Linked DNA regions of Saccharomyces cerevisiae S288C. The protein of the gene in region 1 interacts with the protein of each later gene in a pairwise test. Each region holds a gene or a part of one and is shown in the gene's direction. Other genes may lie near its edges.

Evidence for each region. Proteins that work in one complex are often made in the same cells at the same time.
Region 2: the proteins of YIL108W (region 1) and PIN3 interact in binary tests that used the Saccharomyces cerevisiae proteins (3 or more experiments, as listed by UniProt).

The regions. Positions count from the first base shown.
Region 1 is NC_001141.2:157,944-164,373, forward strand, and holds YIL108W (putative metalloendopeptidase), read left to right. Parts: upstream 1-2,943; coding exon 2,944-5,034; downstream 5,035-6,430. Other genes in the region: COPII subunit SEC24, read right to left, coding at 1-2,222; PFK26 (6-phosphofructo-2-kinase), read right to left, coding at 5,335-6,430.
Region 2 is NC_001148.4:832,758-836,632, forward strand, and holds PIN3 (Pin3p), read left to right. Parts: upstream 1-1,807; coding exon 1,808-2,455; downstream 2,456-3,875. Other genes in the region: URN1 (Urn1p), read right to left, coding at 1-701; MAY24 (May24p), read left to right, coding at 932-936, 1,071-1,488; NCA2 (Nca2p), read right to left, coding at 2,806-3,875.

The DNA.
Region 1 (6,430 bases):
TCTAAGTTGTTCAAGGCCGAGGCGCGATGGTCACTTGGGACAATACCAGATCTAAATGCCATATGCTTAGTTAAAGAATGCATTAACAATGGGAACATTCTCAAATTGGCACATAACCTCAATGGGGCCCCCCCTGCAGTGTTGGACACCACTATTTCCTTCTTGTACGTGGCTAAGATATCTTGCACGGATTTGTTGATCAATACTCTTGCATCGTCCAAACTGGAATTCAATGCTTTCTCCACCGCCTTCGAGTTGTAAAACGACGCTATAGCTAATTGGTCAGCAGATGCGTAGACTTCTGCCAACGATTCCGTGGTTGGCATAGCCAATGTTATAATTCTTATTCTACGTTGACTATTATTCAGAGATAAAAGTACCGCTACTTGAACATAACAATAGTCAGCCATAATGGATTCATCAACGTTAACTTCGAATAAGTATGATTGATCTCTTGGCATGGTGGAAAATGCACATAAATCAGATGATCTATTGAAGAAGTGACCATAGAATCTACTCATTCTCAAACCTGTGGAACCACGGGCTCTCATTACGGTTTCCATACAGAAATCCATGGAAATGTGCTTGGCAAACTCAGTGGAAAATTTGACAATATCATTTGGGTTCTTGCCTGAAAAACCAGGATAGAAATGCGTTTGACCAGCAGTGAAACGACTCAAATTCGATAGTGATGCAACGTCCATATAATCTTCAGAAGCCAAAAATAAATCGACAGTAATCTGTACTTTAGAACAATCGATGGTGAAATTCTTATAAAATGAGTCTTGACAGGAAAGTAGTTGTGCAGTTTCCTTGGATGTATTAACAACACCACTTTCATTTCTCCTTTGTAATTTTCCTATGCCTAAGTTGGGCAAAGTACCTGACACAACAATTATTTTACCACCAACGCCACCAATTAAATGATAAGCGGATTTCAAAGCGGGGCCCAGTGCGAAATTTGTGATTAAATTAGATTGGAAGATTTGAGGAATCTTGGTCAATAAAGTTTCAATGTTTTGTCTGCAGGCCTTTAAGGACACAACCATAGAGTTTGGTCTGGGCAAGAAAGGCTCTTCCAGGTCGGCAATATCCATCATGTTGATTTGATCGGCGGACTCTTCATTGTTTTCAGAATCCAATGGGATTTTAAAGTAGTGAATGGCGTTGTCTACACATAAGATGGAAATTCTGGTTCTTTCATCATGGTTTGGAATGGAATCAAGATTTTGCAAAAGGGTGTTGATGGTAGTGGCCAGTAACCCACTCTTGATAGAGGACTGGGAGACATCGATCAGGAAACAGTAAGTGGCTGGAGGTGGTTGTCTTAGAGTATATTCCTTTGGGGCCATATATTCCATCACAGCACATTTGATTTCATTTCTGTCGTATCTACTCTTTGGGTCGTTTGGATCGCTCTGGTCCATTTGCATAGGAACGTCATTGGCCAGACGACAAAAGTTACATCTCCATCTTCTGCCTTGCTCGATAAAAGTGACAAAAGGGTTCATGTAAGAACGACAACGACGACAACGGACAATAAGTCCATCTTCATTCAATGGAGGCGGGTCGATATCGTCGTACAAGTGTTGGTATGGTCTGATAACAAGCCCAAATGGAAGTTTAGACTTCTTCAGCAGGGAGCTGTTCTTAGGAACGGCGTTCAAGGTCGACCTGATATAATCTGGAGACGCATTGGACAATTCAGAAGGAACTAACATCCTTTCTGGAGGAATAACCAACGGTGGGGGAGGCAAGGTCAGATCGGTAATTGGAGGAGGCAATTCCGTCAACAGATCGATTGGATACAACTGGTTCATGGGCCTCATGTTTTGGCCCATTGCGGCGCTAGGTTGGCCATACGCAGGCGCTGCCATTGGTTGTTGCTGTTGCTGCAAAGGTGTGCCCATTTGCACGGGAACCTGTGGCTGCATATAAGCGTTAGGATCGACTAGCGGTACGTTGTGCAGATGCATATCGTTCATGGAAGTGGTGGCCTGATCAATTTGCTGGTGTAACTGTTCTTGAGCAGGGGTTAGGAATTGTTGCTGCCCCATGGAAGGGACTGCACCCTGTGGCGGCATTCCCATCTGACCATAGCTCATTCCAGCTGCAGCAGGATCCTGCGGAGGCATGAATTGTGCTGGCTGTTGTAGAGGGGTGGCATTTTGTCCATACTGGAGCTGAGCTTGTGGGTAAACACGTTTCTTGTGATGAGACATTTTGCAGATGGTCTCAGACTTATATATTTATGTCTGTTTCAATGCGGCAAAAATGGACCTGAGTGCCAGATAAAACCTTTTTGTAGTGCTATTTTTGGCCTGTTTCCTGATGTACCATCCTCCTTACATAGTTTTGTTTTTCTTCGTTTTCGTTCTTCCAGTTTTCATTTTCTTCTGCCGTAAATGGAAAAAACAAGAAAAAAAAAAAGAGAACAGCTAAGCGTTAACAAATCTGCTCCAGTGGCCATGTCCAAGACTGTTTTTCAAGCCCAGATAGTGCCTGAATAGACTGCATTAAGCTGAAAAACTTATAGCAGTGGTTAGTGCAAAATGCACACTTGTCAGTGCTATGTATATTTGTGACACGATTCTATCACCCAAACATAGCACTAATTACTTTTTTGTTACCCGGCATTCTAGGCGGAAATTTGCTGAAATTTTCCATCAATTAATTACGTAACCTATTCTTTTAAGAGCATGATGTTGTATATAAATATAGATCACCTTAGGAACAGTCAGGCTTTCTTAGGTTTCAGAAGTTCATGTGTCTTGGCGCAGTCAATTCTCTCGATCTTTTTTTGGTTTGGACGTTTAAGAGTAGCGGTCGCCGGAAAATAGAGAGAAAAAGGAAATTTAAAAGGAGTTCTTCTTTCTTCTTATTATTAGATCGTATACAGTAAAAAAAAAAAAAGGAAGTAGTAGTTCGAAGAGAAAGAAATAAATGGTAGGCTCGAAGGATATTGATCTATTCAACCTGAGAGAGAACGAGCAAATCGTTTCTCCTTGTCTTATCGTGCACGGAAAATGCAATAAGCAAAATGGTGCGAAGACCGTTCAAGTGCAGCATCCACAATTGCCTCCAATTACTTACCCCATACATAATCAGTTCTTCAAGGCCACTGTGATATTGACTCCTGGTGAGAACAAGTTGACCTTTGTTACAGACACTAACACCGCTAGGACAATCGTATGTTACTACACACCACTGACGCAGAACCCTCCCGTACACCTGTGTCTGATCTTGGCCAAGGATTCGCCTTTACAGTTTGACTCTCCTCGAGAACAGAAGGACAGAGAGGGCGGGAATGGCCTCGAATTGGCAATCAAGAAGCTAAGACTTGGGGCCAGACTCATGCAAGCGTACACGAACGAGCAAATGCTGAGAAACAGTATGGGAAATAGGACGTTTCCCTTTGTTGAAGAATTTACCTGGGACACGCTGTTCGAACGGCCTGCTATGAGAAACACCATCAAAATACATGTAGTTCGTTCGGAAAAGACGGTGAAGGAAATCCAGGACCCTGACATAGCTCAACAGAATTCCAAAGGGAAAAACACCGGCGCCCTTTTTGGGATAGCCATGGACGCCCTTAAAAGTTACGGCGGACCCTTCACCAATAACGAAAAGCCTGTTCAGGCAGCTTGTATGTTTCTAGACACCCACTGGGATGGTAAGTTGATTAGAGGCCACGCCGCATTGGGTGGGGGTGACGACAGCATTAAGCTCGCCATTTTTGGGTCGCACGGGCTTTACTCATGGCCTACTTGTCTCGAGCAATTGGTGCCTTATTTTACTGATGAGACAAGATCCTCCACCAGTGAAGTCGCCAACGACTGTAATGAGTGTGGTACTTACTGGGAATGTTTGACTATCACGTTGGGAGCATTTATGCATGAGATTGGTCACTTACTGGGTTGTCCTCATCAGGAAAGCGGTGTTATGCTAAGAGGCTATACCACTTTGAATAGGTCTTTCTTGACTAAAGAGGCTTATTCTGTAAGAACTAATTCAACTGGTGCTAGTCCTCCCATCTTCCCCAAGGAAGAATGTACCTGGAACCGTCTCGATACGGTAAGATTTTTGTACCACCCCTCTTTCACTTTACCACAGGATTATTACGATCCATCGTTCATGAGACCTACAAAATTGGGCGGATACCCCAATATAAAACACTCTGTATATCCTTTGGGTAACGGCAGTTGCCGCATATTATCGCCCACAGGAATCTATTTGATTGAAATTATATGTGATGATTTGGCCAGGGGCCATATTGAATACTTGCCGGTTTCCCTAGGTGGACAGGGGCCTCAACGGGAAGTTATAGTAACATTAGATGATTTACGTGCCAGGTTGCCCAAGAATGAACTCGCCAAGTTTGGCAATACCTTCAAATTGAAAATTCTTTCTGTTAATGCACCGGAAACCGAGTTCGACAAGTTCCCATCTTTGTTAGATGTTCAGCCATTAGACATGTCGAAATATGGGTTTTCTAAAAATGTTCAAGGTATCAAATCACCACTTTATGGTCGCAGCGACGGTGGTAATGCTGTCGGCGTCGTCGCTTTTGATGTTAGATTAGTCACTGCTGTGAGAATATACCATGGCTATGCATTAGATGGTGTGAGGTTTTATTACAAGGAAAAACCAACTGGAACAAAGGATGCTCCCGCATCCAAGCCCTCTGTACCACCAAGAAATTATTTCTCAAAAATTACACATAGTATCAAAAATCATGCTTCAATAAACGAAGAAAATCTAAAAAGTGTACTCTTTGGACATGAAACACAAAATTTTACGGATGCTACACTAGAACCGGGTGAAATAATCATTGGGTTTAATCTGAGGTGCGGAGCTTGGGTTGATGCTATCCAAATTATAACGAGTCATGGGAGAATGACCGACATGTTTGGTAACAAAGACGGAGGTGGGTTCGCTGAATTGCAGCCACCTAATGGCCAATATATCCTAGGTGTGACTGGCAGAGTCGGTCAATGGGTCGACGCCTTCGGAATTATTTACGGAGCTTTATAGTAATTAGTCAAGGTTTTTTTTTTCTTATTTTTTTCTATTTCATAACTTAGTCATATCAAAATATATCTATTAAATTATTTTCCATATATACGTAGATATTCTTCATTTGCATAATTCTTTGGGAAAAAGGAAAACAGTTATAGAAAAATATAAACAAAAAACCGCAACACTTCATGATTGCGTCGAACAATATACCTTAAAGAAGAAAAAAAAAGGTTGGTTTTATCACTTCATTAGTCTATTTGAATAATTCATAAAATATTTCTGATTTTTTTTTTTTTTTTTTTTTTTCATATTATTTTAAACGTGACTTTGGCTGCGATTCATGGTTTTTGCCCTTATATCTTCGTTGTCATTATTATCAGCATTATTAGGATAATCCTTTCCATGTAATAGAAAACTTTTATTTTTCAACATGGATAACTTTTCGTCCACTTTATCTATTTCAAAAATTTGCCTTGGTGTAGCCGCTGACTTCTTTACATTAGGTACATTAGAAGCCGCTTTATTGTTGTTAGCCAAAAGAGGATTCACGTTGTTTTGATTTGGAACAACCCTGGGACGATGTATCGAAATTGAGGTACCTCCACCATCTAAGATGTTATTAGAAGTATTAGTGGCCATAAGTGGTGCAGATAATGGTATTCTCGAATCACCATTTTCATTCTTGATGTTAAAGTTGCTCCCAATGAGAGTGGTATTATTGCTGCCAGTTTGAGCACTAACGCTATTCTTGGGTTGTTCTGATAATTCACTCTGGGATGAAGATGCAGAAGTAGGATTAGATCTTTTTCTTGACAAAAAGTCACTTGCAAAGCTGCTTCTTGCACTTGGCGGAGCTGTTGGTATAACAGAATATCTTCTTTCATTATAAACAAGGCCAACCTCCTTTACTCTGGTGGTATTCAAGTCCGTTTGTGGGACCTTAGAAAATGAATCCGATGCTTCATCATACTCCCATAATGACCAAGTGATTCCATATGGTTTTGGTTCTAGGCAATATACACAATGTAATGGGACATCCAAATTGGCAATAATACCCATACTCAAGTTCATAAAATAACCCAATAAGGCTCTTGCCACCACCCGGTGTGTAATAATAAGAACGTTATCCTCGATTCTTTCTAGTTCTGTGATAACAGGTCTGAGTCTATTAATAACGTCCATATACGATTCACCGCCAATACCAGGGTATCTGTATCTCAACTTATCTTTCTGTCTTTTTTCGAATTCTTCAGGAAAGTTGTTTTTAATTTCTGGATATGTCATACCATCATAATCACCTGCACTTAACTCATCTAACATTTTCATTTGTTTGATAGGATAATCATCTTCGTTGAAATATTGAGCAGTCCCTATAGTCCTAGCACGCATGCTGGTCCAAACGAAAAAGTCA
Region 2 (3,875 bases), on another chromosome or scaffold:
CACGTGGAAAACTTGTCTAGTTTATACCTATCGAATAATTCGAAGAAGATATTACGCTCGTCAATGTCATCTGTATCAATACGATTCAGATCATCGATAATGCTGATATCTTGATTTACAATTTGTTCTTCATTCTCTTCGTCTTCCTCTTCGTCTTCCTCTTCGTCTTCCTCCCCCGAAGATGAACCATACCCGCTGACTAGCCCAGTGTGGCTTTCCTGTAAAGGGGATTTTACGTCACCCGCCTCTTCGCTGATCTCATCTTTTCTCTCAACTTCGTCTTGATTTCTTTTAAATAGATGAATCTCTTCGTTGCAAGATTCGAGGATTTTATCAATGTCCTCCTCCCGCATAGTGTAACCTCTGGCAACGCCAATCAGAAGAACCAGTTTTTCCTTATCTAACGACTCGATTAATGAGCGACACCTGCTGTCGTCCTCTTGACTGATGTCATTTTTGAACTCCTTAGAGTCATCATTAAAGTAAAGTTTTGTACCATCGTTGTATATTATTAAGTGCCAACCATTAACCAGTTCTAATGAAAATGTTGGCTTCCTCTCTGTCTGTGATTCTTTCGCATTGCTTTCTAGGTTAGAGCCTTTCTTCAAATTAGGTTTTTCCCATCGAGACTGCTTCGTGTTCTTATTATAGTAATACTTTTTGCCTGCAGGTGTCTTAAATTCCTGCCATTCTCCACGCATGGCGATTCTGTGTTACTGAACTGTCTTTCTCTTTATAATACATATCAGAATCTCTTTCGGACACTATTTCCTCTTTCTTCAATTATATTGTTTTCTCTTTCATTGCCGAAGAAAAAAAGAAACATACTGAAAGTTGATAAATATGCAATAATAAAACCTTTTCCTACTCTTGACGCTTCTGTATAAGATAAAAACTGCCAACAAGATCAGTTCCAACTTCCTGCCGTATTATGAGGTATGTTATTCATTACCAAGACTATATCCGCCACGGCTGGATGCAGGCATCGCTCCCTGTGGCTTAAGAAAATAATAGGCACAAAACTAACAATAAAAACATCCACTACTCTGTCGCATGTTCCCTGTGCTCAGATCATTCGTAACAAATAACGATATACCTGTTGGATATGTAACGCCAAAATTCCCCTCATTATACTGGCCCATCAACAACTCGAAGTATAATACTGCATTCTTATACTATATATCTGACATTTGGAAATTTTCGCTGTACTGGACTTTGATCTTTAATGGTGCATTTTACGTTACTGCTGGTGTGTATGCTAGCTTGACCCATAGAAAGAAGGCTGGAAGTGTATGGATATTCGTCATGTACGTCTTATACGGAGGCGTTCAAGGCTTGACGACTGGTACAGTTATGGGGTTTTTAATAGGTGCGATCTATAGATCTGGTTTATTTTCTATGTCTACATGGGTCCCACTTTGTTGCGCAGTAGTCCAAATCCTTTTCGATGTGGTGCTAAGTTATTCCATGGTTGGTTCCGTTATGTGAAAGCTTCTGTCAAGAAAAAACAAGAAGGGGTTTACTGATTTGATGATAAAAGTTAGCAGCAACTTTTGAATGAGAATGTGCCATCCTTCACGTAAAGAGCCTAATACTCTTTCTTCAAAGCGCTAGATTGTTCTAAACGTTTCTTTAACTATTGTTTTCGTTCGTGCAGCGTGATTAACCGAGCCTCCTTCGAGGCGGGGATGGATATTGTAAGCTGCATATATAGTCGAACCTCAAATCGGTTGAGACAATAGGCAAAGTGCCCACATTGGCGCAAACACAAGAACATTAGGAAAGAAGGCAATCTGATATTTCAAAAATGTCTGCTTCATTGATTAATCGTTCCTTAACAAACATTAGGACAGAACTGGATTTTCTAAAAGGGTCAAATGTCATTTCAAATGACGTTTACGATCAAATAAATAAGAGCTTGCCGGCAAAATGGGATCCTGCCAATGCACCCCGCAACGCCAGTCCAGCTTCCTTGGAATATGTCGAAGCTCTTTATCAATTTGATCCTCAACAAGATGGTGATTTGGGCTTAAAACCAGGTGACAAGGTCCAACTTTTAGAAAAATTATCTCCAGAGTGGTACAAGGGTAGCTGTAATGGCCGTACCGGTATTTTCCCAGCAAACTATGTCAAGCCAGCTTTCTCTGGGTCTAACGGTCCATCCAATCTTCCACCACCTCCACAGTATAAAGCTCAAGAATTACAACAAATCCCCACGCAAAATAGTGCCGCATCATCTTATCAACAGCAGCCATTTCCTCCACCTTCCACAAATTATTATCAGCAGCCTCAACAACAGCCGCAACAAGCTCCTCCTCCCCAACAACAACAACAACAACAACAACATCAGAGCTCACATAGCCACTTGAAGAGCTTTGGTAGCAAATTGGGTAATGCCGCCATTTTTGGGGCAGGCGCTAGTATTGGGTCAGATATTGTTAATAATATCTTTTAAGTCGTTTTTCTCTTTATATACTTCATTCATTTGTTCTCCATTATGGCCAAACCTTTCATAAATTGAACGAAGTTCTACCTTTGGTGTTGTTATCCCTAGAATTTTTTTCTAATGAGTATGAATTTAAGTAACCTTTTTTTTTCTTTTTTTTTAAACAGATATATCGTATATGGAGGATAATAGTACATCACTTATGATATGAGCGAGAAAATCTGTCTTTTTAGTAAAAAAGTATAAAAAGTAAAAAGGCGTCGATTTTGCGTTGATTTCTTTATATTTACGTCTGTACAAAAAATACATTAAGAATATATTCAATATCTTCCCTTTCTTCTTCCCCAGCAGGCTATACGCTAATGGATTAAAAACCTGCCATATACGTGGTATATCCTGTTGACGACATTTATATGAGCTCCGGAGTCAAGATTGGTATCCACCAGTTCCTCAACGTCCCTAAACCATTCTTTCTTTCTTGAACGCGGGATCAAAAAACTTCCCAATTTGTATAAGTTAGAAACCTCAATCACTAGTAGACCCTGGTTTAAGTGTTCCTCATCGGCGTCCGCACCTTGTTTAGAATAATTCAAAACTCTTTCCACATTATTCAAACTTATACTTATTTGCTCCCTATACCGTTTTTCATTAGACCAGACATTGCCTAGTTTGACAAATCTTTTTAACGCCACTATAGAAGAATATAGTATCACTAAAGCCGGAGATAATGCTACAACTCCAAACACCAACTGTTGCGATTTCAGCATTTTATCAATGCCATTCAATGCCATAGATCCATCGACTTTTGTTTTTTGCAGTTGAATCAATAAAGACCTGACTAATCCACCCGTAGCTATATTCTTTATCGGATGATGTAGTTGTGTTTCATATATTTCCATAAATTCGGTCAAATCACCATGTTCGACTTTAGTACTCAATAGAATAGGGTCTATGGGGCTGTTAGACGTCGAATCACTATTATCCACAACAAAACTAACAATCATTCTGGTAAGAGAATCCATGTCAGAGTTTAATGTCTCCTGTGATGTCACTGAAATGGCGCTTCCCTCGTCATGCTTAACAGTAGACCAAACCTGTTTCAGGGGTGCCCATAACCAGTTCAAGATCAGCCCTTTCGCAAAGTCAACGACATTGGTCTTAATGAAATCTTGAATAAAATACCGGGAATTCCACAACGACATAACAGAAGATGGTCCATATAAAAGACACAACAAAATTGAAGGCCAGTATCTAGTCAATATACTTGGTTTAGTGAACCTTCTTAAAGGATGATCTTTATGAAATTTCGCTGAGCATCGGATCACATCTAGTAAATTCGAATCAGACATGGCTAATCCAAAGAAGTCCTGTAAAGATTTTAGACGTCTTTCGTAGTTCGGTAAATGTACTTCGGTGAACATACCATTTT